2 linked regions of the Rattus norvegicus genome follow. The protein of the gene in region 1 interacts with the protein of each later gene in a pairwise test. Links are inferred from orthologs where the notes say so. Each region holds a gene or a part of one and is shown on either strand. Other genes may lie near its edges.

Region 1 (3,647 bases):
TAATTTGACCAGTTCTACTTTGCAATATGAGAAGAAGCAGGCGCACTTATAAGGGCATTTAATGTCATCTGACTGAGCTTGGACCACAGAAAAGAACATAAGTGATACTAAACTGAATGTGTCACTTCAAACCAACCTATTTTAAGCTATTATGGGAATAATCTCAACAGAATAAAAAACATGTATTGACAGTGAATAGAAATATATATTTTGTAAATGAAATTACAAGAGTCAGTCATTCTATATTATTTTCCCACAATATATTTGAAAATAATAATTTTAGTTATTTCTTGAAATACTTCTCAGATTGATAAATCTCCTGTACTATTGAGTTTAAAAGATTGTTTTAAAATCATTTAAAAATTAGATTTAACTAAAAACAAAACAAGCAAACAAAACAGACAAACAAGAACCAATTCCTTAATTACTATCAATGAACCTGATAAAGTTCCCTTTCTTATGGTGTGGATCTCATATGATTAATAAACAAAAGGCAAAAGTGAATTTAATGTTAATTTAATTTAGGGAGGCTGTAAAGAGAGTGAACACAAACTTTTAAGCTAGCTGCTCCTTAGTCAGAATTGGTGCAGAAACTGAGCCATGTAGCAGATTATGTGGGTCTAGAAAGCACACAATCTTTAAAAGCTCAGACACAAAGCTAGTTCTGCTCTACTGTTTTTAAGTAGGACAATGTAAATCATGATTCCTTAATTATATGTATTACCACACTGAACTATGTTGTTTTAGAATGTCATATATAAAAGGCTGGAGAGAAGACTTAAGGGCTAAAAGTACCAGCTGCTCTTCCAAAGGACCCAGGTTCAATTACAAGTACCCACGTGGCAGGCAGCTCCCAATAGCCTACAATCCCAGTTCCAGGGGAACTGACACATATGCAGGCAAGGCACCAACACAAGTTAAAAAATTATTAAAATTTTTTAAAATAAGATAAAATTTCAAATATACTAGAAGAAAGAAAATAAATCAATTATTAAATAGGCAAAGATAAACTTAATATTTTCTTTCTAAAACTCTGTATTTTCCCAAACTTAATTTGAGAAAGCCAGGCTGCAATGGTCTAATACTCTTGTTCATTCGTGTAATTAACTATACAGTACTTAAAGTGTTTTAAATAGTGATGAGTAAATACATTTCCTAGTGTTTACTTTGCAGTGTTGAAAGAAATATGTCATCAACTTTAACTCTGAAACATTGTGAATGGTGAGAGGGCGTAGTAGGTAAAAGTGCTTGCTAACAAGGCGGACAGTCTGAGGCTATGACCATCACACATGGGACATGGCACACACAGCCATGGCCACACGACATGCATGCCCACACATGTACACAGACACAGACACACACACAGACAACACCCTCACAGAAACACTTCTTATACATATGATTTCCTTTATAAAAATTGAAGCATACTAACAAGGATCCCAAGCAATTTCTTGGTATTTATTTCTGAGTTGTTCCAGGACCTGCTACTGAAATGTGAAACAAAATGTATCAATGAAAACAAACGTGGAAGGGCTACTCACAGAAACATCTTTCAGTTCTTTCTCCAGGGAGAAATGCTGAGTGTCCTTGGAAAAGATGAACTTGTATGCACCAGCTGCTCCCGACTCTGGCACCAGTGCCCGTCTCAGCTCATCCATGTATTTTTCCTGCTCCATAGCCATGTCATCAGCTTCCTGTGCAATCTCCGATTCAGAAACTATGGGAAAGATTAATTAAGGAGATGAAATCAAAAGGTTCTATTAGAAAATATGGATTTAACTGTTACAACTACTTAACCAATATAACAGAACTTTGAAGAAATAAAATAAAATGTTTCCCAGTAGTTTTTTGCAGATACATTTAGTGCTGTTTATCTTTTTCCTCCCTCTCTTGTAACACATTCCCCTCTTCCCTAGGTAAGCACCCAAACTTCCCCCCTTTGCCCATTGGAAGCCCCTGTGTCCACTCCATCTCTTGAGCTCACTGTCTTCGTCTCTAATCCCCTCTGCTTTCCAGCTTCTGCAGTTATACCAGACTATGTACTCAGAATTAGGAACTGTGTGTGTGTGTGTGTGTGTGTGTGTGTGTGTTACAGATTTATGCCACGTGGGTAATAGTTCCTCTATGCAGGAATAACAGCTTACCTAACAAAAACTCCAGTGTCACAAAAGGGAAACCATCATGCTCTTGGTCAAGAGTTCTAGAGATCCTCCCAAAGTATGAGATATCCCAATGTCCTTAGTTGCAGTCCTACAATTTCCAAGTGAGATGCTATTGCATAACTTCTAATGTAGGACTGGAAGAACTGAACCAGTCCTGACATGGAGGCTTTTTCTCGGAACTAATGCCATTTCCCTAAATCAATATAGCTTCTAACTCTGTATTAAGTGCCTTATCTCCAAAGATAAATATAGTTCTCAGCTCTCATCAAAGAAACCTTGTTTGTAGTAGGCAGAGGCGTACTACGAAGATCCACAATCAGTAATACTGCAAAGAATGAGTGACTGTAGGGTCCACAGCCCCAGTTGATACATGTCCAACATACCCGTCCTCAGGAAATACCAGGACAAAAAATTGGAAAGACAGAGATGAATTCATGAGGAAAATACTTCAAAATATAGGCTTAACAGGAAATTTCTGAGTAGGGCTGCAATAGTTCAAGACCTAACTGGGAGAACTACAAAAGGAGTACACATAATTACAGAGCTTCTGCACTAAAAAACTGTACAGAAAAATTGGGATAATGAGAGAAAGCATTTGCAAGCAATTTATCTCAGGGGAATTAGTATCCTTAAAATATAAAGGCTAAGAAAAACCAACTTTGACATAATAACCTAATCAATGTACAAATGAACTGAATAGTACTCAAATAAATTGAGAGAAAATGATCAATATCCTCCTAACTCAACGGGATAATTAAAACCAAAGCGACAATTAAACTCCATCCCACAGTCAGAATGGCTCTATTTAAGAAAAGAAAAACGACACAAGTTGGTAAAGATGCAGTAAACCTTTACTTAGCATGTATATGCTGAGGATCAACTGGAGACAGGAGGTTACTGACAATAACAACAACAGCAACAACAACAACCATACAGGCCATAAGAAAAGAGGGCTATGGATTGGAGAGCATCATGGAAACTTAGTCAGAGGTAGTTGCGGAAAAGATGACCCTGTATAAACTTAAACTTATAAACTGTATAAAAAGAAACTTTTAAACATCACTCATAGGGGTGTAAAGCAGTGCATCTCCACTTCCCCCCAAAACTGCAAACAGAATAGATCATTCTAAAGCACTCTTAGGGTAAATACCCAAATGCATCAGTCAGTATAAAATAGGGACAGGTTCATATCCAGTAGTTACTATTCACAATAGACAGAAGAATCTGCCTGACTGCCTATCAGTGAATGAGTAGATTAAAAAAGTATGGTAAAGGTATACAATACAATAAAAGGAATAAAACAGGAGAGCAAACAATTAAGAGAAATAAGCTAAACTTTGGAAAAAAACTGCATGTTTTCTGTTATATGTGAAATCTAGATTTGAAAAATGTGTGCGGAGGAGAAAGAAGAGAAACATCAGAAAGCAGGAAAAATAGAATGAAGGTAGATATGATCAAAGTTCATTGTAGACTTGTATGAAAATG
Region 2 (4,251 bases), on another chromosome or scaffold:
TATTTAGGTACTTATCTTGCAGCTATCAGGAGAATGGGCTCTGACATAAATTCCCTATTGCCAAGCCTGAGGCCTCTCCAGTCAGTTGCTAGAAGGGCAAGAGGCCAAGGGTTAAAAGAGATCAACATACTCACTGGTTTGATTCGGAGCTGACTATCAACCACTTCAAGAATGGCATGCCTTCTGGATACTCTTTTATCTGTTATCTACAAGGGGAAAAAGATGTCAAATAGAGCCGCTTCCTGAAAAATAAACGAACCCTTAGCAATGCGTATGAGACGAGCAGGTCAGACATTACATATATTATTAACTCATAACTGCATGTCAAATAACTGCGCTCATTTAACAGATGACACAGTGGTGAAGAGGGGAGACCTACCGACATCATGGAAGAGTAAATGACACCCAGAAAAGCCTACAGTCTATGCAGCCCCAAACCCTCCAGTTCCCATACATGAAACATTCCTAGACAGGATTCCTACTAATGAATCTACCAAACAAGAGAAATAACATACAATATGTACTGTTAGGAAACATTTCAAATATAAAAATTCAGCCTGTCTTAAACTACGTGGTAAATCCGAAGGATGTGACCATAAGGGTAGACAGAGGCTGAAAAGTTTTTCTGTTCTGGGACCACGTGTGGCAGTTAAAAAAAAAAAAAAAGGCAGGAGGAAAACAACCTCTATGTCTTCGATATGATCACTTCCTGTTTTGGGTTAGTAATGCTCAATTCACAATCACTCACCCACAACGATGTTCCGAATTGCTTATATTTTAAATGCTGGAAACTATCGTCCTTCCTACCTCACAGCAGCAACTACTAATCATTTTACATATTTGGATCCTGAAAGCCCAGAGGATGCAGGTAACTTGGGCAGTCACTCTCAGAATATGCAGTGTTCAAGATCCTTACGAATAAAAACAGAGGGTATATGTGAGAAAACAGTCACATGACTAGACCCATGTAAGGTCATTCATATAGAAAAACGGTCCCTCTGACAGTCCATCTTTTGTACACTTCCTTCCTTTTGTACACTATCCACATAAACAATAACAGATCTTTTAGATCTATCTTTTAAGTATGCCTAACACTAGGAAGAAAAGGATATCTTGAATAATACAAAAGTATAGTGTGACCTCTGGTGGACACATGGTTTATTTCATTACAAACATCATCTCTTGACCAAAAATAAAAAATAAAAAATAAATAGAAAGTGGTTTCGTTGGGTACATATGTGCCTGTAAACCCGGCTCAGAGAAATGAGGCAGGAAAAATTTGAGTCCAAGGGGAGCTTGGGCTACGTAGTGAGATCCTCTCTTTAAAGACAAATATATTTAAAATAACCTAAAGTCTAACATTCCAACACATCCCACAAGAATCAACAGCTAGAGCAAAACATATCAACATCTAAAGCCCAATCCGGAGGTGGAGATTACAAAACACTTTAGCGACGATGCACAAGAAAGACAGAAACGCCAATCTGACAGTCTATGTTGGAGCACAAAACTCATATGATAATGGGGAAAGAAGAGAAAGAAACCAGGAAACAGGGCAGCAAGAAAACAGAAAATACCGCTCAGGTGGGAAATACACACAGATTTTTAAAACAGAAATTCTTTTAATTCTTACATTTTTATTTTTTGTTATATATGCATACCTGTGTGTCAGGATAGGCATGTATGTACAGTGCCCAGAGAGGCAGAATTACAAGCATTTGTGAATTGCCTGACATAGCTGCTGGGAACTCAATCCTCTGTAAGAAGTTCCAGACTCTTAATGGCTAACCCATCTCTCCCTTGTGATATTTTAACTAGATCGCCAGGTTTTCTTGAGTGGCCTTTGTAAATGCTATGTCTTATGGCAACGCGAATATAATTTCATAGTGCAAACTGGAAATGTTCTGGTTCCTACTCTTCCCAAAGAAGGTAAAGAATATATTATACCTTAGTGACCAGTTTAAACTCCAACTTCCTCATTTCAACGAGGCTAATAGAAAGCATCTAAGTAGTAAATCTAAAGTATCTCTTTAGAATAATGACTGCTTCACTACCCAGACAACTTAACGATTGCTTCTGATATCACCAAAAGGAATATTACTATTATTGGTAAGGCCCATCGGCCCCACAAAAGAGGCCAGGGAATAAAAGAAGTTAGCTTAGGGGAGGTCACTGGCCATCAACCTTCTCTGTGATGGGCCATACGGTACTGTAAATAGGGTAAGCTTTGTAGGTCAACATGTGACACGTTAACCTTTAAAGTACTATTCGTCTTTAAATACTTAATAGCGTTTTTGTTTATTTGGTCTTTTTACATTCTACATCTTATAACCCTAAGCTCAACTTGGATTTGGCCCCAGTTTGCCAGCTGGATAGGATAATGATGTTAACTCTTTCCGTACGTTTTCCAGGCACCAAAAAGAAATGTCGGTGACTTGACTAACGTTGCTTGAAAACCTACTGCCCCAAACCTATAAAGTCTTGACAAGCAGAGTCAAGGTGTGGAGTTCCCAAGGACAGGAGACAGAGACAGCCTCAGCCGAACAAACTCTGGCTGCCCACGCCCAGGAGTACCTCCCACACTTACTCCCAGCAGCGGCCCGCGGCCTATCACAGTCTGCCCCGGCCCCACGGGCACGCGGGGACCGCCGTCCAGAGGATGCAGAAAGAACTCCGAAGACATGGTGGTAAAATCAGATTCCTTCGCCTGGAGATACCTCGTAGCCACCTCCCTCAGACACGCCGCGCAAGTCCCAAAGGGGTGTGAGACCCGAGGCTCCTTTTCTAGTGAGTGAACTTCTTCCCTTTCCGGAATCCCTACTTCTTGAGAGCTTGTGATTCGTGCAGGAATTACCTGTCAGCTCACCGCCAAACTACAGCTTAAAACTGTAACTCACACCCACAATCTTCCAGCGCTTCCTCCCACAAGACTCATGGAACTCTGGGTCTTGTAGTCTCTAACAACTCCCTTCCGCTCCTTTCCGGGATGCAGTCATCATAGGAAAAACTACCAATCCCGAAAGGCAATGCGTGCATCTCTGCGCAGGGGTGTGGGGGTGGAACTATAATAGTTATGAGGTCTAAGCCTGAGTGTTTACATCTTTTTTGTTTGTTTTATTTCATATGTGAGTGCTCTGTATGCTTTCCCATGCCAGAAGAGGGTATCAGATTCCCATTATAGATGGTTGTAAGCCACCGTGTGGTTGCTGGGAATTGAACTCAGGACTTCTGGAAGAAGCAGCCAGTGAGTGCTCTTAACCCACTGAGGCATCTCACCAGCCCTGGCCTGAGTGTTTAAATAGCCACAGTCGGGGTTGGGGATTTAGCTCAGTGGTAGAGTGCTTGCCTAGGAAGCTCAAGGCCCTGGGTTCGGTCCCCAGCTCCGGAAAAAAATAAATAAATAAATAAATAAATAGCCACAGTGCTGGCCTGGTGGCCCTGTGACTTCAACAGGATGATGTTCTTTTCCCAGTGGAGTATGGTGTGTGTATGTGTTTCTTCTCCTTTCCTTCCATAAGGAAACGGCTTCAGCTAAATTAGGCTTTAATGATAGGATTGTCCTCCCTACCCCAAGGAGTATGTCTGGATTTAGACTTTTAGGGTTCAGCCTCGAGGGTCATTAACTCTCCTGTGCAAGAGCCCCATGCTCAATTGAGTCTTCTCTTCTCAAAGGCAGAAGCCTGCCTTAGGCACGTGGCCCATGGGGCCGGAGGATCTTCCTTCTCTGTAGAGGAGGCCTGTTCTCTGGCTGGGATCTGTAGCGGGCCTCTTTCCCTTTGGTGGAGGCCTGGATTGGGGGAAGCAGTCTATCTGGAGTTGGGGAGTTGGCACAAACCTTCGGGCGGAGGAGGAGGGCAGAGGTGGTCTTTTCTATGGAGAAGTCAGTTGCTAAGCTCAGGGCTTCCAGCCACAGGGAACTTTCTCTTTGGAAGAAGCCTGGCCCAGAGTCTGGCACTGCTCTGTTAAGATTTTTTCCTTTCTTGTGACTGAGAACAGACTCTGCAAGGCCTTCAGGGTTTCTCTTCCATATTGAGGCCTGCACAGCATGACTCTGCGGAAGGAGGTCATCCTGTCATGGGGCTGGAGTCTGATCACCTAATGCCTCCATGGGGCAACAAGGTCATCTCTTCCCCCAAGAGACCACCTTGTCACCAGTCTGGCAGAAATGAAGTTAAAAAGTCATTGTGACCCTCGTTTTGACTCTCAGAGCAGTGGGCCCTAAGAGACTAGAATTTTCCTCAGTGATCCCAT

What was found.
Region 2: the proteins of Xrcc4 (region 1) and Aplf interact in binary tests that used the Homo sapiens proteins (3 or more experiments, as listed by UniProt). The link is inferred for Rattus norvegicus from reciprocal best matches to the Homo sapiens genes XRCC4 and APLF.

The regions. Positions count from the first base shown.
Region 1 is NC_086020.1:22,905,253-22,908,899, forward strand, and holds part of Xrcc4 (DNA repair protein XRCC4), read right to left. Parts: intron 1,718-3,647; coding exon 1,542-1,717; intron 1-1,541.
Region 2 is NC_086022.1:121,677,040-121,681,290, forward strand, and holds the start of Aplf (aprataxin and PNK-like factor), read right to left. Parts: upstream 2,894-4,251; 5' UTR 2,684-2,893; coding exon 2,588-2,683; intron 207-2,587; coding exon 135-206; intron 1-134. UniProt on the Homo sapiens protein: Histone chaperone involved in single-strand and double-strand DNA break repair.